Linked DNA regions of Ovis aries. The protein of the gene in region 1 interacts with the protein of each later gene in a pairwise test. Links are inferred from orthologs where the notes say so. Each region holds a gene or a part of one and is shown in the gene's direction. Other genes may lie near its edges. The genes, in order: GABARAPL2, RETREG1 and FUNDC1.

What was found.
Region 2: the proteins of GABARAPL2 (region 1) and RETREG1 interact in binary tests that used the Homo sapiens proteins (3 or more experiments, as listed by UniProt). The link is inferred for Ovis aries from reciprocal best matches to the Homo sapiens genes GABARAPL2 and RETREG1.
Region 3: the proteins of GABARAPL2 (region 1) and FUNDC1 interact in binary tests that used the Homo sapiens proteins (3 or more experiments, as listed by UniProt). The two-hybrid records come from large-scale screens. The link is inferred for Ovis aries from reciprocal best matches to the Homo sapiens genes GABARAPL2 and FUNDC1.

Annotation. Positions count from the first base shown.
Region 1 is NC_056067.1:2,347,932-2,358,026, forward strand, and holds the start of GABARAPL2 (gamma-aminobutyric acid receptor-associated protein-like 2), read left to right. Parts: upstream 1-5,491; 5' UTR 5,492-5,588; coding exon 5,589-5,622; intron 5,623-5,947; coding exon 5,948-6,003; intron 6,004-7,131; coding exon 7,132-7,304; intron 7,305-10,095. Other genes in the region: TMEM231 (transmembrane protein 231), read right to left, coding at 623-792, 900-1,038. UniProt on the Homo sapiens protein: Ubiquitin-like modifier involved in intra-Golgi traffic. Modulates intra-Golgi transport through coupling between NSF activity and SNAREs activation. It first stimulates the ATPase activity of NSF which in turn stimulates the association with GOSR1.
Region 2 is NC_056069.1:56,687,232-56,697,326, forward strand, and holds the start of RETREG1 (reticulophagy regulator 1), read left to right. Parts: upstream 1-4,432; 5' UTR 4,433-4,454; coding exon 4,455-4,762; intron 4,763-10,095. UniProt on the Homo sapiens protein: Endoplasmic reticulum (ER)-anchored autophagy regulator which mediates ER delivery into lysosomes through sequestration into autophagosomes.
Region 3 is NC_056080.1:43,690,920-43,701,014, reverse strand, and holds the start of FUNDC1 (FUN14 domain-containing protein 1), read left to right. Parts: upstream 1-4,521; 5' UTR 4,522-4,543; coding exon 4,544-4,571; intron 4,572-5,276; coding exon 5,277-5,433; intron 5,434-8,921; coding exon 8,922-8,997; intron 8,998-10,095. UniProt on the Homo sapiens protein: Integral mitochondrial outer-membrane protein that mediates the formation of mitochondria-associated endoplasmic reticulum membranes (MAMs).

The DNA of each region.
Region 1 (10,095 bases):
AGCCTTGCGTGCTGCAGTTTACGGGCTCGCAGAGTGGGGCTTCCCTCAGAGCTCAGTTGGTAAAGAATCTGCCTGCAATGCCAGAGACCTGGGTTTGATTCCTGGGTCGGGAAGATCCCTTGAAGGAGGGCATGACAACCGCCTCCAGTATTCTTGCTGGGAGAATCTCACGGACAGAGAAGCCTGGTTGGCCACAGTCCATGGGGTCGCAAGGGTCAGACACGACTTAGCGACTAAACCACCACCACCACCATAGAGTCGGACACGACTTAGGGAATGAACAACAACGCAACTCACACAGCAAACTCTGCGACCACCATTCCCTCAGGAAGGGCCAGGCCGAAATGTCAGGAATTGTCAGGGGTTGGAGACTCTGCAGAGAGCAGAGACACTGACAGTAGCAGCCAGCTTACCCGGGGTGGGGGACGGCTTGGAGAAGCCGAATGTACCAACAAACAGGCCTCCAGGAAAGGAAACAAGCTCGGGTCTGGGGTTCGTGACTCCTTCAGCCGCACACCGAGTTCCCCGGGACAGGGGCCGGAGCCTCCCGTCAGGCCGCGCCCTCCGCCCATCCCCTCCGCAGCCCAGTCTGCGCAGCCGGGCCCAGGCGGGAAGCACTCACCGAGACAAGCGGGACGCGCAGATGACCCTCCTGCAGCCGGTTGAAGGCGGGGAACGTGCTCCAGGCGAGGAACCCGCCCGGCTCGGATCCTAGCAAGGCCACGAGCAGCACCTGGTGCTGGAAGCGCACGGTTGGCTGCTCCTCGTAACTGCTCCGTTTTAGCCAAAACCCTGAGGTAACGAGAGTGCGGGGTGCAGAGACCCGGGTCAGGGAGGCGGCGCGGGAGCCACGTAGCGCTGCGGGGCGCGCACCGGCCGGGGCGAGGGGGCAGACTCACCGTGGCTCCGGAAGGCCACCAGCAGCGGCGGGATGTACGTGAGCGCGGCGGCCAACAGCAGGAAGAGCGCCGCCTTGGAGCAGAGCCCGGCACGGTAGCCCCGCTCCACTGGATGCGCGTAGAGCTCATAGAGCGCCATGAGGAGCACTCGGGGTCTTGTTCCCTCGGCAGTTCCGGAGCCTCGACCTAGTATGGCTTCTCCTGGTTGCCATAGCCGTGGTCTCCACGGCAACCGACGGCCCAGGGAGAGCGACCAATAGCGAGCAGGCGGGCTTTCCGTGGGGGCGTGGCCAACGGGGCGGGGCCCGCAAGTACACTGTGGTCGCACACTGCTTGCGCGTTCCCAAAGGGTGTTTCCGTGCGCCCAAACCGTGGCCGTTGTTAACAATTTTGTAAAATAAGGTTTTTTCATAAATGTTGACTATTTATTAATAGTCAAATCTATTAATCCCCAATGTGGTTTATTGTACACTTAAGTCTAACCAATCACAGCACACCGTACGTTGGAGGCAAACAAAAAAAAGTGGCCGTGGTCCTAGACACTTGGTCCTGGGTTAAGACCAAACCAGGTCCCTTTGTTTCCAAATTTTCTATCGCTTTCACTATACTCCATAGCAGGGCAGACACGGAAACAGACCTATCTCCCTGCTGTTCGAGGGGAAAAAAAAAGATAATTATTGTATAGCTCTGCTATACTTTGCTATCTTGATTGGGAACAAGCTTTATGCTACTTATTTTAGGAGAAGCCGTGGTCCTCCTCAAAGATAAAGTTACACAGGGAAGCCTGGCGTGCTGCAGTCCATGGGGTCGCAAAGAGTCGGACACAACTGAGCGACTGAACTGAACACTTAATTGAATGCTTCCACCGTCCCATCCCATCTGCTTTCTAGTATTTCAAACATGGCAGAAGAAATTTTTTTTTTTTAAGTAGTCAATAGCCAAGTTCTCCATCAAAAGGCCCTAAAGGATCACATTGCAGTGCCGAGTTAGTGTGAAGTTTGTGCTCAGAATGAGATCCACTCATAAATACTCCTATTTTGAAGGCAACCTAGAAGTGGGGTTTTCTCCTAGATTTATTGAGGTATAATTGACATATAGCACTGTATAAGTTTAAGGTGTACAACATAATGATTTGAGTTACATGCATCATGAAATGATTACCACAATAAATTTGTTGAACATCTCTCATCTCATATAGATTACAAATTAAGGAAATAGAAAAAAATTTTCCCCTGTGATGACAACTCTTAGCATTTACTCTTTCATCTACAAAATAAAGTAGTGTTAATTATATTTATCATGTTGTACATTACCTCCCTAGTACTCATTTATCTTATAACTGGAAGTTTGTATCTTCTGACTGACTTCATCCAACTTTCCCCTCCCTCCACCTTGCCTCGGGTAATCACAAACCTGATCTCTTTTTAATGAGTTCGTTTTTGAAGTATAATTGACCACAACATTAGGTTAGTTCCTGTTATACAATATAGTGATTCAGTATTTCTATACATTTCAAAATGATTACCATGATAAGTTTAGTTATTATAACCTAGAATTGGGTTTTCGATGAAGAGAACAGCTGAGATCCTAGCAAAGAAGAGAGGTCAAGACGTGCCCATATGGGAAAACTATACAATGCCCTTATCACAGTCCGAGATGACAATGTCATCAGCCAGAGAAACCAATTAGAATGGTGAACTGGAAAAAGACATCAGGAAGGTAGGTAAAGGGAAGTCCCTGGTGGTTCAGGGGTTAGGACTCTGCGCTTCTAGTGAACTGGGCATGGGTTGGATCCCTGGGGGTGGGGTGGGGGACTAAAAACTAAGATTCCTGCTTGCCGTGCGATGTGGCAAAAAAAATAAAAAAAAAAAAGGTAGGTTATGATAGAAGACAGACATTGCACCTCGAGACCATCAGGTGACAAACATGCTTGTAAGTTGCTTCGAATCTCTCCACTAAGAAGCATACTAAGTTCTTCCAGGTGTAAGATGGTGTACACATACTTTGAACTAGGACACAATGACCAGCTCTGTAAAGGGAAGCAGGGGTCTTTGGCCCAATTTTTAACTTCTTCACTGATTCACTATCAGAGGGTTGACAACCATCTTCATTCCTTAGTGTTTAATTCTATTTGCAAAATAGGTTATTTTCATTTTTATACTCACTCTCTTCTGTCAGTTTAGTTCAGTCACTCAGTCATGTCCGACTCTTTGTGACCCCATGGAGTGCAGTACACCAGGCCTCCCTGTCTATCACCAACTCCCGGAGTTTACCCAAACTCTTGTCCGTTGAGTCAGTGATGCCATCCAACTATCTCATCTTCTGTCATACCCTTCTCCTGCCTTCTATCTTTCCCAGCATCAGGGTCTTTTCAAATGAGTCAGCTCTTCACATCAGGTGGCCAGACTATTGGAGTTTCAGCTTCAACACCAGTCCTTCCAATGAACACCCAGGACTGATCTGCTTTAGGATGGACGGGTTGGATCTCCTTGCAGACTGCAGGAGGACTGCAGCCCACCAGGCTCCTCAGTCCATGGGCTTCTCCAGGCAAGAATATTGGAGTGGTTTGCCATTTCCTTCTCCAGAGGATCTTCCCAACCCAGGGATCGAACCCGGTTCTCCTGCATTGGAGGCAGACGCTTTAACCTCTGAGCCACCAGGCTATATTCAAAACCAAACTCTTGATTTGCATACCCCACCCCTCTGGCTCCACCCTGTTCCAGTAAATGACCACTCAATTATTCCAAAACCCTGACTTAGACTTGTTCCTCACGAATCATATTCGATTGATCAGCAAATTTTGTTGGATCTACCTTCAAAATGTATCTAGAACACAGCTGCTTCCCATCACCTCCACAGATACTATCTTGGGTTAAACCAACATCATCTTATACCTGGATTATCACAATAGCCTCTTAACTGTTCCCTTACTTCCATCCTCAACCCCCTATAATCTACTGTCTACACAGAAGCTAGGAAAGTCATATCATGTCACACTTTTGCTTATAACCCTCCACTGCCTTCTCATTCCATTCTAAATAAAATCTAAAGTTCTTCAAATGGAATTCAAAGCTCAACCCACTTTTCTAGATCTCTTTGGTCTCACTTCCTAATGCACACCTTCTTATATATTCAGCTCCAGTCACATGGGACTCCTTCGTATTCCCAGAAATATGTCAACCACTTTATCTAATTAGCATTCACTCCCACCATCATGGTGACTCACTAGTTACCAAGTATGCTTTATTTTTCTAAACAGCACCTATCATTACCCAACATATTTTTTTTCATTTTGTCCCACTAGAATGCAAACTCCGTAAGAGTGGAAGTATTGTCTGTTCTGTTTGCTGCTTTTCACCAACACTTAGAACAGTGCTCTTTCATGCAACAACAAAAATTTCCAGGCATGAAATTCAAAGGATTTTTCATAAAAAACAGTCCGACAATCAGTCACCTCTAACTCCTCTGGCAATTAAGGTTAATGTTAAAATAACAAGAAATACTTCTAGAATGAAGCTATATTCCACAGCATCCATCAGGAATTTCAACTTAGGAAATGATAAATGACAATATTCAAACATACAAGCCTTTCAGATGCATCAGAATCGCAAGCACGTGGCAAGGATCACATGCCCAATTAAGTGAATATCTTCTTACATATTCACCAGCTCATAAACAGAGGGATGAACCAGAGCACACTGCCCTGGTGAGTCTTGGAGGAAGAAAGGAATAGTCACTGGAGAACCTGAAGGCAGGACACACACACACACACACACACACACCCCTTAGGTTGTGATGCTGAATGCCAAAGAAACCCACTTCATGACTGGGTATCAGGGGAATTCTCTGGGTCTGACAGTCAGTCACCTCTAACTCCTCTGGCAATTAAGGTTAAATGGTCTCTTTGTGATCAGTGTGGTGTTACACTCCCCAAATGCATAGTTAATATAACTTTTCTTAAACGTTTATTCATTTATTCGTGAATAAGGGAAGGAGCTGGGATTTGTTTCAAATCCCAATTCCTAGGTCCAACGCAACAATTATGATTGTCCTCAGTACTGAACTCCCGCGTTGTCATCAGTACCCCTCTCCACACAGTCCCCTCAAACCAGTCACATCCCTCAGACTGAGCCCTGAACCTGCAGTCACTCCAAAGAAACCTCCCCAAAGTGTCAAAGCCCTAACTAGACCCCTTGCCGTCACAGGCCACCAGAGCAACCTCTTCTGTCACTGAAACCTACAAAATTGCCCTCTTGTCACCAACGCCCCAGTCAGACTTGTCTATTGAACAGACTCCTGTAAGGACTCTATCCTGTCGGCCGGACCTGCTCACCTCTTCCCTTTACTAACGTCCACCGAGACCCCACGCCTGCTACCAGCTCTCGAATACCCGCTCCGCAGTCATCAGTATCCCTCACAGACCTCCCAGTCGCCCACTCTATTCCCCGCTCCGCCGAGAGCCCCTCTACGCCCCTCTCCTGCCCCGCCCCTTGACGTGAGGCCCCGCCCCTTGACGCGGTGTCCCGCGAGCCGCGCCGGAAGCCCCGCCCCTCCCGGTTGCTAGGCTCCGGCAGCCGGAAGTCCCGCCTGCCGTGTAGTCACCGCCGCTGCCGCCGTCGTTGTTGTTGTGGTTGGTTCGCTGAGCTCCGCGGCTCCGAGAGCCGGCTGCGTCCCTTCTTCGCCGCCGCCATGAAGTGGATGTTCAAGGAGGACCACTCGCTGGGTGAGCGCTCGGCCGCTGGCCCGGCCGTGGGGGCGGGGGCGGCGGGGGCCCCCTCCCCCACTCGGGCCGCCCCAGGCTGGGCCGGGCGGGGCGGGTGCTTCCCTTGGGGCTCGGGCGGCCGAGGTCCTGGCCCCCAGGGCGGTTGCCCACACGCCCCGGGCCGCCCGCTGCGGGCCCTGCTGGAGCCGGGGCCCCGAGGACCGGGCCCGCCCGGACGCTCAAGAAGACCGGGGGCGTGCGCAGGTCCCAGAGGGAGGAGGGCCGGGGTTCTGGGAGCCGGCCGGCGGGCAGGCGCGGCCGTCAGCCCCGTGTGTTTCTTCCTCAGAACACAGATGCGTGGAATCTGCGAAGATCCGAGCGAAATACCCCGACCGGGTTCCGGTGAGTGCATTCCCCGCCCCCTCGCCTCCCTGTCACCCCTGCCGTCTAGGGCCGGTGGTGGGGCCCAGGCTGCTCAACAGTTGACAAGTTTAGACTACAGTCACGGTTGTGGTGGCAGATGGGCCGCACTGGGTAAGGGGCCGTCGAGGGGCGCGACTTGACGGGCTGTAGTGGATGCTGTTCAGGTTGCTTCGGTGCTGAACCTCGCGATCTAGGCCAGCGAGCTGTCTGCAGCCTCTGGGCTCCCTAGCCAATTATGTAAGAAATGATGTTCTAGGACAGGGCGACAGGTCACAACCACTTTAGGGAATGGTGGTGGAGGGAGACGTTCACTTTGATCTTGAAAGTGGTACTTAAGTCTCAGGACATTCATCTTTAACTTTGCGCCTTCCTCTTTACCTGACTTCTGGTTCCCTTTTCTCACCCTGACCCTGTCATCCTTTGCTGACCAAAAAAAAAAAAGTCTGAGCCGCTGCTGATCAATAATGCTTATCCTGTATTTATCCCTTGATGGGGGAAATAATTTCTGTAACCCTTATTTATTTTTGAGGACATCCAGGCCTGTTATTGTAGTTTATTGCTTATGAACAGTTCCTTTGGGGAGAGGCAGGAGGGATAGATTTGAAACTTAGTTCAGAGAGAAGCAACAGGCCAAGTGAAGAGCTTGGTCCTTGGCTGCCTGGAGTTGCCAGTCATCCCCATTGATCTGTCCCTTCTCATTTCCTGTGTTCCTTGGGATCTTAATTCCCCTGTAGTGTGAAGGCAGATACATTCTGGGGCCCTGGAGTAAGAGGCTGTAGAGGAACCCTTCACCAGATATTCTTGAGTCTGCCCAAAGTATTGAAAAACTTTGTAGTGAGAGCTGTGTTTCTCTTATGCATGCTGAGATCAGGGGTGAGAACTGTATTAATAATTGACCACAGAAAAGCACTTGCTGTTGCCTGTAACACATGTATATCAATTCTTAATCTCCAGAGTGTGTGGCGTATTACGCCAGGGGCATGTTTGCTCATGTTATGCCGTTTCCCACCCACCTCCTTGCCCACACACTGTGGATCAGCACTCCAGCAGTGCGCAGCCAGGGCACCGCGTCCGCAGTCCAGTCATGACCGCACTTTGCTTTTGCAGGTGATTGTGGAAAAGGTCTCAGGCTCTCAGATTGTTGACATTGACAAACGGAAGTATCTGGTTCCATCCGACATCACTGTGGCTCAGTTCATGTGGATCATCAGGAAAAGGATCCAGCTTCCTTCTGAAAAGGCAATCTTCCTGTTTGTGGATAAGACAGTCCCACAGTCCAGGTGAGGGGTGTTTACTGGTATTGGACATCTGCTTGGTTGCTTACAGGACTCAAAACTTTGGAAGTCTGAAAACTTTTAGAGATCCTGATTAGAAATCTGAATTTTGTGCTCCCTGACATCAGGAGCTCAAGGAAAACAAGAAAGGGCTGCAATAGATGTGTGTGTACTTTGGGTTAAGAAAACAGAGCAAGGCCTGGACTTTTTTTAAAAAAAAGATGAAATCAGCCTCAGATACCCAAGAATCCTTTTTAATAGTTCGGGACTTACTTAGGCTTAAGCCATCAGTAGAACTGAAGCCTGAAATGAGGTTTTTTTCCAAATGATCCATGAAATAAGTCCTGTCGTTCTTCCCCAGGAGCCTGTGGGCCCTGCTGAAGCTCAGCTTCAGTTAAGCACCCTGCCTGCTCGCTCGCTCTCCAGGCTCAGTCCTGGCCACTGTGAGAGTCCGCTGCCTGAGCCTCAGGTACCCGGAGACGGCTCTTTACAGACTTACACCTCCCTTTGCTCTGTCAGTAGCTGCCCTCTTGTTCTTGCGGTTGTGCTGCCTGGAAGCAGTCTTTGGGATATTTGGGGCCTGAATTGAGGCAGGGGCATTACAGTTCTCTTCAAGGTAGGCGACAGCCTAGCTTTAGTCTCCTGTGGAGAGAGGAGAATTTTCTGGCTCAATCTGTACCCCTGGTCAGTTCTTTTCTGTTACTGATTTGAGTAACAGAGCCAGATGCTGGCTCCCTTCCTCCTGAGTTTCATTTTGTTATCCCCCCAAAAGTAGTACTTCTGATGCTAAGGCTTTAAGAAGCCCTGGGAACTAGCCCAGTGTAGCCAAAATATGCTTCTTTTGAAAATCCTTGAAAACTCCAAGAAAGGCCTAAGCCAAATTCTAGTCCCATTTCCTACGAATGGAATAACTTTGGCTATTTTTAAGGTTTTCTCTTTCCCATTCTCTGACACTTCTGCTTCCTGATGTTTGGCAGAGGATTGCGTGGAAAATCCCATGGACGGAGGAGCCTGGTGGGCTGCAGTCTGTGAGGTCGCTGAGGGTCGAACACGACTGAGGGATTTCACTTTCACGCATTGGAGAAGGAAATGGCAACCCACTCCAGTGTTCTTGCCTGGAGAATCCCAGGGACGGGGGAGCCTGGTGGGCTGCCATCTATGGGGTCGTATAGAGTCGGACATGACTGAAGCGACTTAGCAGCAGCAGTAGCAGCAGGGGCGAATGGAAGGTCTGCCTTCCATTAGGCCAAGGCTCTGCCTGAGGAGAAAGGCCAGGCTCTGCCTAAAGGGCGCCATGGCCTGCTTACAGCTCGAGCTTAGGAAGCTGTGGTGTTGCCAGGGGTCATCTTGTCACCCCGCTGGGCTCTCGGCCTTCCTTCCAGGCCTCTGGGCACTGTGGTGCTGGGTGCATTCTTCTCCAGGGGAGGCTAGGGAAGCCCTGGGCATCTGCGGTCATGTTCCGTTTCCTTGCAGGTGGTGGGGAGGTGGAGGTAAATCAGTCTTCATGCCACCTGCAGCTTGTGCAGCCCCTTGGCGGCCCTGTGTGTTCTCCTTCCCAGAGTTGGCTTCTGGGTGGGAAAAAGTTTGTGAGTAGGACCTGTAGCCTTGAGTTTTGTTTTCCTTGATCCTGATCTTCTGATACTTTTTGAAGAAATGAAGCAGGCTTCTGGAGACATTAAGATTATGTTAATGTAGCAATTACAATGGCTGCAGATTTTAACTAATGCCTCTCCTCCAGTAGAATTGGAAATGAAAAGTGATTCTCAGGGTAGCAGAGGCTGCTTTCTCTCTTAAGTTTTATTTGCTTTTCCAACCTGGTAAGAATCCTCCTTAAAACAGGTTACAGTGGTGACCCAAGGCACACTAACCAGCCCCTCCACCCAGATCCTTCAGCGCCTTTGGCTCCAGTTAATGACTTCCTGGCCCACATTTAAGGCAGCAGTTCTTTGTTTGGGGGTTTTAGTCTTCAAAACAAGTTTGCTTATAAACAAAAGAGGCATGTGACATCCTTGGGCTGATCACCTGATTCCTGCACAGACAAGATTGGCAGTCTCCTCCTAAAGCTACAGTTTTGACTCAGCTTCATCACTTCCTCCCCAAGGCAGTAGGAGCTTCTTCCTTAGCACTTTCCAGCCTCCTTAGGGAAGCGTGGAGCCTCCTTTAACCATTAGCCAGTGTTTGCAGCCTTTGGAGAGTGGCTGGGGAAATCACAGTTGAGAAAGGATGAGCCCTCCCCCATCCCATAACAAGCATATCTACACAAGGATTGCGTATGTCTGAGGCTGAGCAAAAGCAACTTCATTATTCTTGCCTTAGGGTGGGCTTGAGTGTTCCGGGACACAGGCGACCATCCTGTAAAATAGTGTGATTATTGTTTGAGTAGTCAGTGTTAATACTGACTCTAGAAATACAGACAGAAGCAAGTCCATAAGAATTGTACATTGTACATTTTAAATCCTTTCTGAGTTTTTTTTTTTTTTTTTTTTAAGAAAGGGGAGATCTCAACTGCCTTTTCCCATTTAGCATTGGAAAGTTGAATTCTCTGCCTAGGTGCCTGCATCTAGAATCAGGCTGGAAACAAAAGGAAAACCGTGTCTTGGTGCAGACAGGACTTGAGAAAGAATATCATTATTGTATAAGCTTTCCAGTCAAAGCTTTAGTGGGGAACCCAGACCTGGCAGTGGGGCCTACCTTGTGGTCTTTGTTTAGAGCACAGATAAGAGTCTTATTAATCCCTTGTTTAAAATAGAAACTGGGGTATATTATTAAATTAAATAATATCCAATACTTTGGCCAC
Region 2 (10,095 bases), on another chromosome or scaffold:
GAACAGTGGGCAGAACATACATCCCAGGACAGAGGAGGGGATGCGGTGCCTCCAATCACCTGGGTCCAGTTTGAGTGTCAATTAGAGGTCACTTCCTCTTGGTGAACTCCTTCAATAGGACCAGAAGGGTGGCCATTCCACTGAGGTGAGTGTAACTGCTGGGCCCGTGGGAAGGGGTTGACAGTTAATGCTCTGAAATCATTGCTGCTGCTGCTGTCTGTGTTGATGTGTGTGCCTGTGGGTGGATAAAAGAGTACCTTTCCAGGATATTCACTCCTGCAGTGTGACCCCAGGTCCCTTCAACAAACCCTCCTGAAGACTTGCAAAAGCTCTTTTGTATATTATTAGGGAATGATACCTAACACTGAGTACCCCAACTTGGTGTGGTTGGCCACCATGCTAGAGTTCATTTCTGGTAAGCATCCCCCTTACAGAATCCTTGTCAAATTAGGTTAGTCTGGTTTGGATATTCCAGTTCTTATAAGCACAACAGTCAATCCCGAACAGAAAGCCAATTCCTTTTGCGACTTGGGCCTTGGAAACCAGGCACAATCTTCCTTTCCGTTCCCTCTGTTGTCACTGCCGTGGTGTGGTGTTCCTACTTCTCTCTGCTCAGTGTGATCTATCAGGCTCTCTTGTTGATCTTGTTCAGTCACTAAGTCACGTCTGACTCTTTTTGTGACCCCATGGATTGCAGCACACCAGGTTTCCCCGGAGGTATCTCCCGGAGTGTGCTCAAATTCACATTCATTCCATCGGTAATCCTATCTAACCATCTCATTTAACCATCTCATTCTCTGCCACCCTTTTCTCCTTTTGTCTTCGATCTTTCTCAGCCTCTGGGTCTTTTTCAATGAGTTGGCTCTTCACATTAAGTAGCCAATGTATTGGAACTTCACCAAATTAACAAAGCTTAACAAAATTATCAGCACACAAACATCTATCTGCCAGACCAATACAACACAACATGGGTACACAGCTCCTTCATGTAAGGACCTAGGAGTCTAACATGAAACATTTTAGGGGAAGAAAATATGGAGGCATTTCCCTCTCGTCCTAAGGCTTTAGCTTGAGGTTGCCTATGTGGCCTCCTAGAGTAGGAATTAATTATTCATTGCTTTTTTCTCCTATTACAAACTTTCTAGCTACTTTTGGAAGAGAAAGGTGAGTGACCTCTTTTAAGAGTTCTTGTGTGTATTTTGGCTTTCTTTGCCTGACTGGTTATTTTCTAAACTGTCACTTAGATTCAGTGGCTACAACTATTTTCTTTGTCTCGCACTCTTCTTTTTTTTCCCTCTGACATATCCCCAGTCTCCTTGCTTTCCTTGGATCTATATTTTCAAATTGTCTACCTCATTAGTGTGAATCACTCTGTTCCCCATACATGGTGATGCAAAATTCAGAAGAATCTTAAACCATAAGGTTACTCACAGGAGTTTTAAATGTGACATGTTGTAGAGATGAGGGGACAAGTTTTAAGCATCATTAATATTATTTTGATGCAGTCTTAGCACTGAATACATTATTCACACATCGCAAAGTTAATCAGACAAAAACACTCAGTAGCACCCAGTTATGTGTCTAGGCCAGCATCTGCTCCTGTGACATTATTTGCTAGTAATCATTAGAGGTCAGAGGTGAAAAAGACAGATGACAGCACTTACTCCAGCTGTGTGGCATTTTAAGAGAGAAGGAAAGATTTCACAGAGGTGTGAGGAGGGAGCTTTATCAATAAGCGGAGGTAAGCGTTGCAACCCACACGTAGCAACTGAAGTTGAGCTTCTATGTGTCTTGGCTGTCAACAGCTTTTACTACTTCAGCATATCCTGATGACAGTAATTAAATTCCAGGGAGAAGAGGAATGTGTAGGATCTTGCAGACATGTTTCTAGAAGCACATCACCCTGGTTTGGAAAATGGGGATATCAGGTTTCTCAATTCCTCCCTCCAGTTGCAGAGTCTAGGGCAACCCTTGGGCTGTCTCAGTCCTTTGCTAAGCAAAGGCCAGATGACACAATAAAGCATCCTTTATCTTTCAAAAGCTCCTGCACCAATGCTAAGAGAGTGCACAACACTCAGGGAAAAATTGTCGTTTAGTCGTTAAGTCGTATCTGACTCTTTTGTGACCTCATGCCCACTGGGATACTCTGTCCATGGTATTCTCCAGGCAAGAATACTGGAGTGGGTTGCCATTGCCTTCTCCAGGGGATCTTCCCCACCCAGGGATCAAACCTGCGTCTTTTGCATTGGCAGGTGGATTCTTTACCACTGAGCCACCAGGGAAGCCCCAGGGAAAGACTGTTTCTTCTTTCGTGGTAAAAACACCAGAACTGTTTCCATATTGCTTTTTCACGCCTCCCTGGTTACTGTATTGGGTTGTCATGAATCTACTCACAGACAAGCCAGAAACATGAGACTCTGCGTTGCCGGCAGGTCAAAAACCAAACTTCCTTCCACTAGTGGATCAGTTGAAGCGATCTGCTGCAGATACACACAAGGAACCATGACCTCCACCTGTAAGTCCCCAACTTCGCTTGTGTTGATCTCCTGACAGACATGATTGCCTCCTCTTCCCTACCCTATCCTGCCTTTACTGCCCAGTTCAATCGCTCAGTTGTGTCTGACTCTTTGTGACCCCATGGATTGTGGCAAGCCAGGTTTCCTTGTCCATCACCAACTCCAAGTGCTACTCAAATTCATATCCATCGTGTTGGTGATGCCGTCCAACCATCTCATCCTCTGTCGTCCCCTTCTCCTCCTGCCTTCAATCTTTTCCAGCATCAGGGTCTTTTCCAATAAGTCGGTTCTTCACATCAGGTGGCCAAAGCATTGGAGATTCAGCTTCAGCATCAGTCCTTCCAATGAATATTCCTTTGCTGCCCTCCTGCTTACAGTTCAGGACAGACAACCTCTATTCCAAAAAGCTCCCGGAAACCTGACTCCTCCACTTGTCCCTAATTTTGGACACATGACTGAAGTAAGGACTCTTAGCCCTGAGTGATCATTTCCATCACGGCAGTGATCACAATTGTCACTGGCCCTTCCTTGGACTGTGAGCTTCCTGTGGGTGGAAGCCATACCCACAGAGCTGAGCAAGGGGTTGGGTACACAGTAGGTGGTCAGTAAACCTCTAAGTAAATTAGGCTTACACCCTTTTGAGGTATAACATACACACAGGGAAGTGCATACACTTGTAATGTACGTCAGTGAATTTCTTCGTATGTGTACACTGAGGTATAAACATATATAATAACCCCCAGATGAACACTCTAGAACATTCTCCAGAGGCTCCCTGGAAACAGGCTTTAAATAGCTCTGAGAATGAGCCCCATCCATCCTGTGAAAGAAGCTGGTTGCCAGTAGTAAACTCCAAGAAGATATAAGATGCTTTGATTCATCAAAGTAGAATGCTCTGCAAAGGGAAGGAACATTTTATTCTAGAGGAAAGTGACAATGGGGATGAAGGAAGAGAACATTTAGAAAATGCAAATAGGGAAAAGTGAACCTATTTGAAAGTTTACCTTTCATCCCAGCCGCTGCCCCCTCCCCCCCCAATCATTCAGAAGCACCAGGGCCAGTGAGGCCAGGTCTGAGAGATCTCAGAACTCCTGGTCACCCCGTCACAGCACCTGACCCCTGTCCTGATGACTGCTGTGACCACAGTGACTCTGGCCTAACCTGTGTAACACACCCAAGCGATCCTGCATCTCAGCTCCCCGCTCACCTGTGCCCTCCATAGACCAGCGTGCATTTTGGAGCCAGGTGACTTTGTCCACAAGTCGGAGGGAGGAAGCCCCCTGCCACAACGCGGTGGCCTGGCGGTTCCTAATTTGTAAAACCAGAGGGCCACGTGCTTCCGAATGGACCCAAAATGTTTCGCCCCCCACCCCCCTCCTCCCGGGCCCTTTCCTTTCTCAATCCAGCCTTTAAATCATCACGTTGTTCTTAAGAGTCCTGAAGATTTCGGCTATGGAGGTGCAATCTGCCCCTGCAAGGGCACTCGGTGGGGATGCGGGACGGGGAACTAGGGGCTGAAACACGCGGCCAGGCTCAGGGGCGCCCCATTATGCGCTCTAAGGCTGCAGGATGGGCGATCGGAGGCCCCGGCCGGAGAAAGTGAGGACTGCCAACTGCTTCCGCCGGTGGCCCGGAGACTCCCTTTTAGATAAGCGGGCGGACGGAGGCTGGGAAGGGAAACGGGGATCACGTTCCGGCGGCCCCGCTTGAGCGCCCCCGCTCCCCCGGGGACGCCGCCCGGCCCCGCCCAGCCCCGCGCCAACCCGGCCGCGCCCACTTCCCCCGGGAGGCGCCCCGCCGCGGCCGACGCTGACGTCACAAGGCACCCAGCCGCCGGCGCCCCGCGGTGCGCGCCCCGCGCGGGGACCCGCCGCCCTCTCCGCGCGACACCGAGGCGCGCGCGCGCGCCCGAGCCCGTCCCCGCCCGCGCCGCCGAAGATGGCGAGCCCGGCGCCCCCGGAGCCCGCCGAGCAGGGAGCCCCGGCTCCCGCCGCCGCCCCGCAGGCGCCGCAGCCGCCGCCCCGGGCTCCCCCCGAGGAGCCGGAGGGGGCCGCGCCCCCGGAGGAAGGGGCGGCGGCGGGCGCGGGCCGGCAGGTGGAGGAGGCCGCGGGCGGGGTGGCCGCCGTGGTGACCTGGCTGCTGGGGGAGCCGGCGCTGTGGCTGGGCAGCCGCGCCGACGAGCTCCTGAGCTGGAAGAGGCCGCTGCACAGCCTGCTCGCCTTCGTCGGGGCCAACCTGGTGTTCTGGTGAGAGCTCGGGATGGGTGGGGCGGGGGGCCAGGGGCAGGGGGTGCGGGCAGGTGCCCTTGGGGCGCCCGGGAGCGGACGGAGGGCGCGCCCGGGGGCTCGATATGGGGGGGTGGGGGGCGGTGCACGGCGGACCCTGCGGAGGAAGGTGTCCGCCCTGGCCCACTCCCAACTTTCCTCCAGATGCACCTCCCCCTGTAAGCAGCTGGCATCCTCCGTGGGGGTAGCCCAGCCTCGCGAGCGAGACGATGGGCTGACCCCGCACGCACCTGGACCGGCAGGTGTGCCCCCGAGCGCACTGGACCTTTGGCTTTCTGAAACTCGCAGGTCGTGACCTGCTCGCCCAAAGCCCGCCGGACCACACGCACTTGAACCTGTGTCCGTTCTTGTCCCCAGAGAGGGCATATCTGGACCAGCTTGGGCACACGCTCAAGACTGAGCCATCGCCGTCAGCCAGCTGAGACGGGCACCGAGTGATTTGTTTTTCTATCCCACCCGGAGGCTTGGGTGTACTGTCTCTACTCCCCGAGAAGAAAACAGGAGGCAGACAGGTGGATTATGGACATCACCCCGCCCCCCAGGTGTGCATAGTGTAGAAAACAGTCTTATTTTTAGCTGAAGAATAAAGAGACTACCCAAGAATGTTCTCTGAAAAGCCCCTGATCAACAGGTTTGTCTCTTACAAAAGCGCCCTTCGCCCTAAAGACGGGGAAACGTCTGGCTCCTTCACTGAAGCCCCTGCCTGGTCATCTATTACCAGTCTAAGGAGGTGGAGAAAAAGCTTCTTTGTTTGCACCTGTGTTCTCATAACAAGCATGACCGACACTGTGCAGAATAAGCAGAGCTTCAGTGACCCATACCTTGCCACAGGACATTGAATTCTTAACCTTAATAAAGTTAGGAAATAAATAAACGAACAAAACATACACGACCTGCCACTTCCTCAGTCAGCTCGTTTAACCATAATGTTTTTCTGCAGATCTGTGCCAGACTGATCTTGTCTTGAAACAAACTGTTTCTTCATAGAGCCCCCGAGTGTGAATTAACCTTACTTTGGGTCTCTTAGCTATCATTGTTTCTAGAGCTTATTTCGTATTTCTCTAACCTGTTATGAAGTTATAGTGAACACTCAAAATCAGGAAGATATATGTATGATGCTAAATTGGGCAACAATAGTCATAGGGCTGTGTCTCTCTCATTTTACCAATGAGGAACATGTTTTTAAAATTCTTAATTTAAACTTTATTTATTAAAAAAATAGCTAATAGCCTCAGAGTTCACAAGTTTAAGGTACAAAAAGTTAAACAGTCTGTAAATGTCTTTCCCATGCCTCTCTCTGGCTACCTACTTTCCTACCAGAAGCAACCAATGTTACCAGTTTCCTGTGTATCTTTCCAGATAGTGCATATTTCAACAAATACAAAATATTCTCTGCAAATTGTGGACTACTATCTGGGCTGTATTTCTTCTTAGCGCACTTTGGCGATCACTTTCTTGTGATCAGCTGAATCCCACTGTACGGATGTCACAGATTAACCTGTCTCCTACTGACAGAATAAGATTCTTTCCAAACTTTTGCTATGACAGCATTATAGTTAAGGGTCTGAACATGCATTATTTTGCATGTAAGCAAGTATTGCCGTAGGAGGAAGTCCCAGAAATGAAATTGTTGGGTCAGAGGGGGTTCGTCCTTGTAGTTTTGATGGCTGTCATTGTATTATTATACTTCCTTGGAGTGTTACCAATTTATGCTGCTAGCAACAATGCATGTGACTGCCTATTTCTTTTTATACCCTTGCCAACAGCATTTTATCAAACATTTTGATTGGTAAATCTGATAGGTAAAAAAGGCTATCCAGTATGGTTTTATGGTTTTGCATTTCTCTGAGCTTGAGCATCGAGAAGGCAATGGCACCCCACTCCAGTACTCTTGCCTGGAATCCCATGGGCGGAGGAGCCTGGTAAGCTGCAGTCCATGGGATCACGAAGAGTCAGACACAACTGAGCGACTTCACTTTCACTTTTCACTTTCATGCATTGGAGAAGGAAATGGCAACCCACTCCGATGTTCTTGCCTGGAGAATCCCAGGGACGGGGGAGCCTGGTGGGCTGCTGTCTATGGGGTCACACAAAGTCGGACGCAATTGAAGTGACTTGGCAGCAGCAGAGCTTGAGTATTTTTTATTATGTTCAGGAACCATTATAATTATCTTTTCTATGCATTATCTGTTTACAGAAAACTTTTATCCATATTTTTAATTGAGTCATTAGGCTTTTCCTACTGAGTTGTTAGAACTCTCTTTATATTAATAACTTTAGCCTAATTTCTGTAACATGAGTTGCAAACATTTTTCCTGTGATATATTTTTAATGTCTACTGAAAATAATGATTTTTGCATTAAATAATTGAAAGGCATATTTAATTTTATTTGGAAATGATGTCTTCCATCCATATATTTTTTAATAAGTATGATAGCAAGGCAAACAATGGCCATAGGTTTTCTGTTTATCTGTTTTATTTCTCCTTTTTGGAGAATTTACAATCCTATATGTATATTTTCATGGACAGAAAAATGACTGTCCTGCTTTTTAAATTTGAAGCACTTGTTAATTGGAATTTCTGACCCATTTATTAATTTCATTAAAATGCTGTAGTTTTCCCCATTGTTGCTCCTAGGTTGAAATATTCTTTCAAGGACTTTGTCTTCTCTAGATAATGTACCTCTTATCAAGCTATCTTAAATTATGTGGCACTGACATTCTGTGTCCCAAGAACTCTAAAACTCTGTATTTTTATGCTCACTAATGTTTTATTTATAAAAGTGAAAATCAAATAAAACTTAGATGACAAAACATAAGAGTGGTTTCATAAACTGAAGTACTATGTCTAAAGAGTAGATCATGTAGTTGGCAAAGTATAATTAAGTATATGGCATAACATAAAGCTCTTTTTTTTTTTAATAAAAAATCAGTGTTAGAAGCATGAAGAACCCAAATTTGTATGAAGCAATCATGATGATTTCACTTTCACTGATGTTATTTTTGTGAAAATTAACTTTTTAAATACATATTTTTGACTGTTTAGTATCTGGTACCCAGAGAAGGCAATGGCATCCCACTCCAGTACTCTTGCCTGGAAAATCCCATGGATGGAGGAGCCTGGTGGGCTGCAGTCCATGGGGTCCCTAAGAGTCAGACACGACTGAGCGACTTCTCTTTCACTTTTCACTTTCATGCATTGGAGAAGGAAATGGCAACCCACTCCAGTGTTCTTGCCTGGAGAATCCCAGGGACGGGGGAGCCTGGTGGGCTGCCGTCTATGGGGTCGCACAGAGTCGGACACGACTGAAGCGACTTAGCAGCAGTACCTGTTACCAGCAGTAGCTCTCAGGATTTTGAGTTTGAGTTCAAAAGCTCTAACATTTATTATCTGCCCATTTTTTGCAAGATTTTAGTGCTGTGTCTTGGAAGGACAAAGCTGAGACGGGCATGACGGTCTGGGTATTACTCAAGGCTGAATGGCATGAGTGTGGTGAAGGGTCAAAGAAGGAATCATTCATTTTAATACAGCTTTTTGTTGGGCAGGTGGCATCCTGGATAGATGAGACTGTGGGGTCTTCTTAAGGAGACCCCATGCTTGAATCAGATTTTGACGGAGAGGAATGATTTGGGTAGATCCAGTGCATGGTGGACAACCCTCCAGGCCTAAGGAATCGTACTTAATGTTTCCACCATATATTCAACTGGTGCAGTGCCACATGAGGTAGTGGAGAAAAGTAGGGGAGATGAGACTGGCTAGGTGTTTTGGAGACCCACCTGGGGGCAGTGGTTGCCTCGAGGATCTGTTTTTTCCATAGGCAATGGAGACCCCAAGATGCCTTGTGTAAGTGCTCAGGAATATTTTAGTGGGCAGGTAAATTGTGATTTATTCATTTATTCTTACCATAAAATTCTTTCCATAGAGCAATAAACTAGAGCTATAGGCAACAATGTAGATAAATTTTACAAATGCAATTTGGGGAAGAAAAGCGCCTTTAATAACATGTACAGAATGATTCAGTTTTTTGAAAGTTTTAAGATGTCCAAACCTGAACAGTATTGATTAGGGATATATAGGTAAAAGACGTTCTTATCTGTAAAATCAAGAGTAGAGGGAGAAGGTTTAATCACAGAAGGCACATGAAAGGTTCTGGAGTGTAGGCAGTGTTCTGTTTTTTGACCTCGGTGGTGGTAGTTACCTGATGTTCAAGTTATAATTATTTTAAAACTGTGGTTGTGTGTGCACATTCTTATCTTTGATGTGTTTTTGACAAATACTAAACTCCTAAAGAATGCTTTAAACAATTGTTATTTACTCAGAGCTCAGAGGAGTTTAGTACAATGCAGACCATATAGTTCCTGTCTCAAGAAGCAGGGTTTCCACAACGTGAAATAGACTGGGCAACAGTCCAGTAGTCATAGGGCTGGGTCTCTCTCACTTTTCCAATGAGGGACATGTTTATAAATTCTTTTTCTTATCTTAAATTTTATGGATTTAAAAATGGCTAATACTGCCTCATAGTTCAGAAGTTTAAAAGTATGAAATTAGCTGTCTTTCCCACGCCTGTCCTTGACTGCCTGTTTCTTCCCAGAGGCAACCAGTGACACCAGTTTTAAGTACACCATCAAATAGAATGAACCCAGTGAAACAGAAAATGCCCCATTTGCTTTTGTTTTTAAATAACTTCTTGCAGTATACTGTCAATAAAAACACACACATTCTGAGGGAACAGCCAAGTGTAAACACCTGTGGAATGAAAATGGCAATCAAGATCTAGAACATTTCATCTCTCTTAAAGGTTACTTTGAGTTCCTTTCCCATCCACACCCATCCCAGGGACTGATCTGGTTTCTCTCACTGTAGATTAGATTTGTCTTCCCTAAAGTTTCTCGTAAATGATACCTTATAATATGATGTCTTTTGCGCCTGGCTTTGCTTACCCAGCATAAAGCTTTGAGATTCATCCCTATTGTGTTTATCAGTGGCTTGTTTCTCATTTTTGCTGACTAGTCTGCCTCTTCGGAGAAGGCAATGGCACCCCACTCCAGTACTCTTGCCTGGAAAATCCCATGGATGGAGGAGCCTGGTAGGCTGCAGTCCATGGGGTCGCTAAGAGTCGGATACGACTGAGCGACTTCACTGTTACTTTTCACTTTCATGCATCAGAGAAGGAAGTGGCAACCCACTCCAGTGTTCTTGCCTTGAGAATCCCAGGGATAGCGGAGCCTGGTGGGCTGCCATCTATGGGGTCTCACAGAGTCGGACACAACTGAAGCGACTTAGCAGCAGCAGC
Region 3 (10,095 bases), on another chromosome or scaffold:
AATTGGGCTTCCCTTGTGGCTCAGCTGGCGAAGAATCTGCCTGCAATGTGCGAGACCTGGGTTCAATCCCTGGGTTGGGAAGATGCCCTGGAGAAGGGAAAGGCTCCCCACTCCAGTATTCTGGCCTGGAGAATTCCATGGACTGTATAGTCCATGGAGTCATAAAGAGTTGGACACGACTGAGAGACTTTCACTTTCACTTGCAATAAAATGGTCAGTGCAACTTGGTAAACAAGTTTTTTTACTTAAGCACTTAATCTTTATAAACATAACATTCCCTAATTTCTATAACTGTTCATCTACTATTGGACACTTTCTGTTGTCCCCTATTGTTTCTACTCCTTTTCATCATGAAAAACAAAACAAAAACCCTACAATGAATATCTTTATGCATAAGGACTATTATATTGTCTTTGGCACTGGTCTTTAGTGGGATTAATGAAGTGGCATCTATAAGATTGTGCATACATATTATCAAACTTTTTACTTGCTTATATTCTTACAAGCTAGTGCATGCAGCATCAGCTTTGCTAAACTTTTCTCATCAGCAATTGATTACCTCAGTGCTTTGAAAGGTCACTTAGAGTCTAAGTCTTGGAGTATTTTAAGTATGCAAATGTGAGATGAGTGGGCTCCACTGGGTTGGGATTAGTTGTAGCCAATGGGGGAGGTTAGATTGCCCAGCGACTGTGAATTGTTCTTCTGTTTGTTTTTATGTCTGCTTTTTGCTTTTCTTAATTCTGACTAAATTATGTTTTAACATTTAAGGTTTCCAAAGACAGTAAGGAAAGGTAGAGATCAGGAAGGAATAGTTTTATGACAGTTTCATTATGGATTAAATAGAAACTGTTCTCTATTTTGAATAAGTTACTCATAAACTTTTGGAACCCATTGAAAAACTGGAGGCTACATGAATTATGTTTTAGTACAGTGGGTAGGGGCTTCCCTGATAGCTCAGTTGGTAAAGAATCTGCCTGCAATGCAGGAGACCCTGGTTCAATTCCTGGGTTGGGAAGATACCCTGGAGAAGGGACAGGCTACCCACTCCAGTATTCTTGGGATTCCCTTGTGGCTCAGCTGGTGAAGAATCCTGCTGCAATGTGGGAGACCTGGGTTCGATCCCTGGATTGGGAATTTCCCCTGGAGAAGGGAAAGGCTACCCACTCCAGTATTCTGGCCTGGAGAATTCCATGGACACGACTGATCGACTTTCACTTTCACTTCACAGTGGGTAGGTAAGACACCAGTATTCACAGTGAAAATGCTTATTAGTGCTGACTGAAAAGAAAACCTATTCAAAATAGGAATTAATTTAAAAAATCAGGAGGATCGTAGCACCTTTTAGAGTCTGTTAAACATTAAACCATTCATCACTGAGCCAACAAAATAACAGCTTTTTTGGTACTGGGAAAGAAAAGACTCACACTAGTAAAATAAATTATACAACTAACTTGGTTGAGGTAATGGCAAGGGCATATCACTGTAAGAAAACAAAAGGAAGAGTGTTTAAAAAGTTCCTTCTCAACCCTTAAGTGCGCTACAGAAATAATTGCCTTTAATTCATTTTTGGACATGTTTAGGATGCATTTTAGATTCAAAAGTTCATTTTTTGGCATCTTAAGAGCAGTGTTTTGTTTCCGTTTTCTCCCTCTTTTCTCCATAATCATTTGATGCTAAATATCATTGCCTTGACAGGAAAGTGACTTCTTTCTGTAGTTGGCAGATAGTGCTAGAAGTAGATCAAAGTGTTTAGATGTCATTGGCCCAGTCAATCCTCTTCCAATTTGTAATTTTGCTCTTCTGATTTGTAATTTTTCTCTCTTCTTTCAGTGGCCCATCATTTGCTATTTCTCTTATCTGTTAGCACCTCACTGGGAGTGGGGAGGCAATGGGGAGGAAGTCGTTTATGAACTCAAAAGTGTTAACTCTTGGAAAAAATTTCAGTGACGACCTCAGAAGTTATGTCCCTGAAAGTTATTTTGTTTCCAAAACATGTAATTGTGGAGCCCTATACCTTCCCTTGTGGCTCAGCTGGTAAAGAATCTGCCTGCAATTCGGGAGATGTGGGTTCGATCCCTGGGTTGGGAAGATGCCCTGGAGAAGGGAAAGGCTCCCCACTCCAGTACTCTGGCCTGGAGAATTCCATGAACTGTATAGTTCATGGTCGCAAAGAGTCGGATATGACTGAGCAACTTTCACTTTCATACCAAGGTCACAGGTATGGAGCCCTCCACCAAGGTTCAGTTCAGTTCAGTTCAGTTCAGTTCAGTCGCTCAGTTGTGTCCGACTCTTTGAGACACCATGAATCGCAGCACACCAGGCCTCCCTGTCCATCACCAACTCCCGGAGTTCACTCAGACTCACGTCCATCGAGTCAGTGATGCCATCCAGCCATCTCATCATCGGTCGTCCCCTTTTCCTCCTGCCCCCAATCCCTCCCAGCATCAGAGTCTTTTCCAATGAGTCAACTCTTCGCACGAGGTGGCCAAAGTACTGGAGTTTCAGCTTTAGCATCATTCCTTCCAGAGAAATCCCAGGGCTGATCCCCTTCAGAATGGACTGGTTGGATCTCCTTGCAGTCCAAGGGACTCTCAAGAGTCTTCTCCAACACCACAGTTCAAAAGCATCAATTCTTCGGCGCTCAGCCTTCTTCACAGTCCACAGAATAAAAATCTCTGGAACTGACCAAAGCCCATAGCAACTGTTGCCATGAGCCTCCAGATCTAAACCAGCCAGTTCTCTGACCCGAAGTAGGTGAAATACCTACTGGATTACCCACCCTATAGCATCCTAAAGTGAAAGTGAAAGTTGCTCAGTTGTGTGGGACTCTTTGCGACCCCATGAACTATACAGTCCATGGAATTCTCCAGGCCAGAATACTGGAGTGGGGAGCCTTTCCCTTCTCCAGAGCATCTTCCCAACCCAGGGATTGAACCCAAGCCTCCCACACTGCAGGCAGATTTTTTACCAGGTGAGCTACAAGGGAAGCCCATATGGCATCCTGCTGCTGCTGCTGAGTCGCTTCAGTCGTGTCCAACTCTGTGTGACCCCGTAGACAGCAGCCCACCAGGCTCCCCCGTCCCTGGGATCCTCCAGGCAAGAATACTGGAGTGGGTTGCCATTTCCTTCTCCAATGCATGAAAGTGAAAAGTGAAAGTGAAGTCTGTCAGTCATGTCTGATTCCTAGCGACCCCATGGACTGCAGCCTACCAGACTCCTCTGTCCATGGAATTTGCCAGGCAAGAGTACTGGAGTGGTTTGCCATTGCCTTCTCCCTATGGCATGCTAACCAATAACCTAATACCATCCTTCTAGTAGAAATTTTCTATCTTGAGACCATAAAAATTGGCTGGTAGCCTGCGAACGGGTTGGGCTCTCCCTTGAACCGACATGTGTTGTAATCGTGTGTCCCTCTCTAGTAAACTTTATTCATCTCTCATTCAGCCTCTTGGCTGGATATTCTTTTCCAATCCGCACATGGCCCACGACAGTAATCTCACACAAAGTGAAGATTAATATTTCCAGCCAGTCTTAGAATTGTATTTTGAGGTGCACAAGCTGAGGAACTTGAGAGACATCAACCCTTGCATTTAAAGCACCAGGACTTGAAAAGCCAAGTACAATTATGTAAGTTAATATTTTAAGTAATGCAGCCTCTACCAGGATTTCTTATTTTTCTTCATTTCCATATTCTCAGAATAAGAATACTGATAGGGTTGTTCTAAATGTACAGCGAATGCGGGTGCAACGTAAATTCAAAACAAGTTTCGGGGCCAGTTTATGTGAACCTGAGTCAGCCGCTTGGTTTTCAACACGGTTTCTCATTCAACAGAATCCCGTGAGGCTTCTTGGGTGAAGAACTTATCCTCGTTCCTCTGTCAGATTTAAATAACAAAAATGATGTTTAAAAATTATGTCCTCTTGAGTAACTCGTGTCAGGTCATTTTCTGGGCTTCCCTCTTCCTCCCTCAGGTTCCTGGCAGGAAACGCGTGGAGAAGATGAAAAGGTTCCAATTCCTAGCAGCAGCGCGTTAGAAAAATTTTCCATCGGTTAGTGAGCCTTTGACTGCTTGAAAAGTGTGGTTCGAAAGAGGGTTTCTCTTATCTCTTTTTAAAAGCCTCTTTCTGGTACCGTGTTACAAACAGCAAGCTGGTTTTCGTTTAACCACCATGTGACGCCCCCTCCCCTCCAGTGAGGCCCTTTGAAACAAAATATCAAAAGTTAGCTTCTGGAAATTCTCGGGGGGGAGGGGTGGGAAACCAGTGTTGCGGAGGGCAACTGACTACAACTCCCACAAATCCTTGCGGGCTGGTATCCAACCTGTCTCCCCCCTCCCCCCTCCTCGCGCCCCTCTGCCCTGCGCTTGCGCGGAAGGCCCTGCGCTTAGAGGAGGGGGCGGGGACAGGACTGTGCGCCTGGAGGAAAAGGAGGAGGAGATAAAAAAGAGACCATAGACTTCCACCTGGGCCTAGAGCGGTTTTTAAAGTAGGGGCGAGAGGCGGGCGGGTTGGGACCGCCTCAGTACAGGCCGCCGGCGGTATCATGGCGACCCGGAACCCCCCTCCCCAAGGTGAGCGGCCGGGGCCCGAAGTAGTATGTTAGAGGCAGCTCACAGCTCTCGACGTTGCTTCAGGCTCGCCTCTTCCTTCTGTCCCAGGGATCCTGGGGGCTCTGTTTTCTTGAGGCAACCTCTTTGAGCACCTCTTTTAGACTAGACCTCCCCTCCCCCTCTTGGACCCTCGCCCTCAACACGGCCCCACCTGTCTTACCTTCACCTCCCTTCCTATCCGTCTTCTAACGTTTAAGTCTTACTGTTGAAGTCATTTCTTCTTGCTGGGCCTCTAACCGGTTCGGCCAGTGGAAGACCCCCCTTTTCCTCCCACTGATGAAAATGGACCCTGCACTGACCCTGAACTTGAGATTTGGGGGTGACCCTTCATGCTGTGAAACTGACCTACCTACCGAGATTGGGGGAGACCCTGCTGTGAAACTGAGCCACCCCTGCAGAGATTTGGGGTAGGGGTGTAACTGCTCAGTTGTGTAACTGACGTTGCCCCGCCCCCCCAGACCTGTGTCTAGCTCTTTGGGAAGGGGATGCTAGGCCCTTTACTCTCAAGGCCCTAAGTCTCAGAGATTGGGTTTAAGAAACTGTCTACATCCGGGCGTTTTTAGGTGTATGCCAATGTAACAATGAATTTTAACAGATGAAAATGTACACGACATTTTTAACTTTCAGTTGACTGAAAATGTGTTGCTTTCGTTTTCTGCTTTCAAGAATATGAAAGTGATGATGATTCCTACGAAGTGTTGGATTTAACTGAGTATGCCAGAAGACATCACTGGTGGAATCGCGTGTTTGGCCACAGTTCCGGACCTATGGTAGAAAAATACTCGGTAGCCACCCAGATTGTAATGGGTGGAGTGAGTGGCTGGTGAGAACATCCTTTTTTTTTTTTTTTTTTTTTTTGTTAAATTTCACTGGGAGCCTGACTGCTGCCCTTTTGTATCTGGGCCAACTACATACTCAGTCAGTGGTTTTACAGTGTTAATCCCAGAAGAGCTGTACCTTGAGACTTTTCTCGGTGATATGATTAGTGTAATCTACACTCAGATTCTGCTGGGTTTTGGTGATCATCCTCCTCCTCATCCTTCCTTTTTTTTTTTTTTGCATATTTCCCCCCTTCTCAGATTTAGCAGATGTAGTGGATCTGATTCAGTACCAGTGGGTAAAGAGGAAAAAATATAGAAGAGAAGAGTTAATTATATGTAAATAATTTGTACTTGTTCGGTTGAAAACCCTGTGAGAACTCCCACAGTAAAACTAATCTCCAGGGTTATCAGCCCTGTGCAAAGCAGTGTAAAATTCTCAGTAAAAATTACTGATTATGATACAGATGGTTCTGTTAATTTTGTGGGCCAATTTAAATTATGATAATACTTTGAAGAAGGAGAGTTGTAGAACATTGGGTCTTTGTTGGAATTACTCAGTGATAATACTGTGGAGTACATTAAGGGGGAGAGGTTAATAGTATTAACCTCACCAGTTAACATTTCAGGTCACGTGATTATATAATTGCTACTGTAGATCTAATTCTGTTATTCTTAGACTCAAAAGATTAGCCAAATAACAAGGGTCAGAAAGAAGTTTGACCCTTTATTTTGAAAATGTTCATGACCCTAGGGAATTTCTGAAGCTAGTGGGTGTGCTTAACCTGTGAGTAATCATTTTTTCTTCTTAGATTCTAGGTTAAATTCATCCTACATTAATTTAAATATTTACATATTTAAACTCGATAAGTATAAAGTGTTTGTTTTAATTTGTGTTTTATTTGCACCTTGGAACAATGGTGTGCTCTTTTATGCCTTTTTTTTTTTTAACGCCTTTTTAAAATAAATGCCATTTTATGGTAGAGACATTCACTGTGAAGATTCTGTGATGAACAGGTACAGTATTTATTCATGATGTGTACTTATTAGTGCTGCTTATGAAAAAAGCCTGCAGTTGCCTGGTCAGAGCCCTGGTTATTCAGATGATTCTTCTCAAGCTGGTTATACTTTGATGCCCACAATTCAGGGCCTGGCCTTCTACTTAAATAAGCTCACAGTCTGGTGCCTTGGGTGATTGGTTAATGTGAGTCCAGGCCTAGAGCCCCATCTTGAAAGAGACTAAAAAATAATTGAGCAGTAGGATTAAATCATTGTGTGTTTTCTCCTTGTAGGCCAAACTTGGTGAGAAGCCCCATAATTGGAAGAAGTTTGCTTGGAAAGCCTAGAGACAGAACAGAGGACATTAGTATATTGATTGTAGTTTCTCATACCATTCAAGCAAAGGATAGACATGCTTGTGGAGCACAGTCCCCAGGATACTGTTAAGACCTGGTTGCTGCTTGGCTCCTTTGCTCCCTTTTCTGAGTCTTTGTTGCTGTCTCCCCTACTGAGGGACACATATGTTTGGATTATAGCCAGGTGTTGATCCAGGAGCTGTGTAATAGGACTCTAATATTATACAGGTGATTTGTTGCAATGACTTTAGATTCAGCGTAATAAACGTTTGCAATTTTTTTAGAGTATAAAACTGATGTCCTATTGTGGCATATGTTAAGGAGGAATGGTTAATAAGATGTTAGCTAGTTAACAATTCAGACCAATTCAGGACTTGATTGGGAAGCTGAGGAAATTATGTTTAGCTGTAGGTAGTTATATGTTCTTGATCCTAAAAAAAAACTAAAACTGACAGCAGAATGGGTGGCTGCTAGGTGAGATGGGAGGTGTGAAGATCAGCCAGAGGGTCATTAGTGTGATCTGAAAGCAAGGTAGCGATGCCTTTGAGGATGGAAAGAAGACAATCAAATGTTTTAGAGAAACTTGGGTGTATAGAATTGGCCATCATTTGGACCCCAGAGGCGATGAAGAAGGCAGTCTGAGATGAACATGAGGTGAGAAGCCTCAAGAATAGTGCTATCACTTAGAAATTGGGACTTTAGCAAACAGGTGGTTTGGTTGGAAAGATGGTGTTTGCTTTGGGACATTTTGAATATGTGGTTCTGGGTGGCAAGAGAAGCTCGTCATGTAATTGGAAACGTACATTTTCCATTTATGAAGGGGTGTTAGTTTCCTCAGGCTGTTATAACAAAGCACCATAGCTAGGTAACTTAAAATGAGAGAAACTTATTCTCTCACAGGTCTGGAGACTAGAAGTTTGAAAAGTGTCAGCAGGGTTGGTTCCTTCTTGGAGGCTCAGGGAGAATTTGTTACGTTTCTCTCCCATCTTCTGGTGGTTGCCAACAATCCCTGACACTCCTTGACTTGCAGACATGGGTGCTCAGTTGCTAAGTCATGTCCAACTCTTCATGACCCCATGGACTGTAGCCTACCAGTCTCCTCTTGTCCATGGGGGTTTCCAGGCAAGAATACTGGAGTGGGTTGCCATTTCCTCCTCTAGGAAATCTTCTCAATTTTGCCTCTGCCATTACATGGCTGTCTTCCTTCTGTGTGTCTCTCTGACATATTGAATTTGGGGCCCACCCTACTCTAGTATAACCTCATCTGAATTAACTGCTTTTGCAATGAATTTACTCCGAATAAGGTCACATTCTGAGGTTGTAGGAAGGTCATAGATTTCAGGGGTGACACAATTCAACCCAGTACAGAAGGCCGGAGTTGGAAATCTGAGATTCCTTTGCACATTGGATCTGGACTGCTGAAGGGAATAATGAACTCACTGAAGGAGAGAATCAAAAAAGTATGGGTTAACATCCTTACAGGATAGATGAGACAAAACAGGTTTAATATAGAGATAGAAATAGAAAAGGGAGCCATGAGAAATGTGGGCCAAAGTATAGTCGTGAAGATGGACCTCTTACTGGACCTTAACGGGTAGAAAAGTTTTAGATAGGTGGAGCGAGGTAGAAACCCCGAGAAACGGGGATTAATACCTTGAGCAAGAGTGGTGACCTGTTTGGAAACTGATTGGATTGGAGTAGAAGGTTTGGCTAGAGTGAGAGTTGGCCAGATATGTGGAACATCTTGACTATATTTTTAAAAAAAAAGCCCCATAAAACTAAGCATTTTGTTATGAGGAATTTCAATACAACTTAATACAACTTAATACAACTGTAGAAGGAAGAGTATAATGAACCCTTGAGTACTCACATTCAGTTTCAGTAGCCAGTCTTTCCCCTGTCAGTTCCCTTCTCTTCATCCCTTATTTTGAAGCACATCTCAGACAGTTTAGACTGTGCAGTTTTGACTAGTCTGTATAACTGAAAGGAAACATTGAGGGTTTCTGAGCAGGTGAGGAACATGGTCAAAAGAACTGGGAAGACGTTAAGATTTTATTAGGAAAGTAATGAAAACTAGAAGAGAGAGAGTTTAATACATCATTGATTGTCTTCATCCTTTGCCATTTCTTCCACTAAAGGTGTGCGGGATTTTTGTTCCAGAAAGTTGGAAAACTTGCAGCAACTGCAGTAGGTGGTGGCTTTCTTCTCCTTCAGGTATGTCAGAGCTTTCAGTCCTTGCCTCTGCTTAACAAATAAACATTTCATCAATAGTATAACCTGTTCATACTGATAATTTAAAACATATATTTAAAGTTCACACACATTCGTACGCAATATATGAAAATCAAAAAGTCTCTTTCCTTCCCTGTTTCCTAGTCATTTTTCCTTCCCAGAGGAAATTGCTGTTAGCAATTTCTAACATGTTTTTTAAAACTAGGAAACCATAATAATATAAAAAGTGAAAAATTGGTCTTAAAAAATAATTCATAATCCTATTTCTGAGGCAAGTTGATTTGAAATTTTAGTCCTGTTTATGTTCCTCTAAGTATAAGGTTCAAAAATGCTTTGCTCTTAGAGGTGGTTTATCAGGATATTATCTGGCATTCATGTCTGTTTGGCATATATTTTCCCCAAAATATCATTCCCTGAAGATCAAATATAATAAATCCTAAACTTGAAAAATCTCTGGGAATGTGTGTTAGCAACAATTTTGAAGATACAGAAATCTGTCAGGTTTTGAAAATGATTGATGGTCATAGCAACCAAAATCTGACTTCAGCACCTAGCCATTGATCATGTAATAACCAGTGTCATTGCTTGATGTACAGAAGGACTGAATTCATATGTATTAAGCACAGATTTTCAGTTGTTTACTAAACAGTTTTAAAATTTTATATATACATATTTTTCTATTGATGGTATTATTAAGAGTAATTGCTTATCTCTTGTAAAAGGTAAAAATAAATAATTATTCATATTCTAAATTTAGTCCTTTGGAGGAATATGCCAGTATTTGTACAAAGAATTTTATTTAAGCAGATTTTTGACTTTGGTTTATATAGAACCAAGAATTAAGTTATTTGTATAGTTATCTAGAATCAAGATAGTTAATTTTATAGCTGTTTTGAAAACTCAAGTTTCAAAAGATGGAAAAAGATACTCTACCAAAGCAGAGTTCCCTGGGATATTCACAGATGGAATTATATATTTCAGTCTACTCTGCATGTCATTGATCAGAAGTCCATTTCAGTCCCTTCAAACCCATGTTTTATGATTGTCACCTTCTACTTCATGTTTAGTCCACGTAATGTT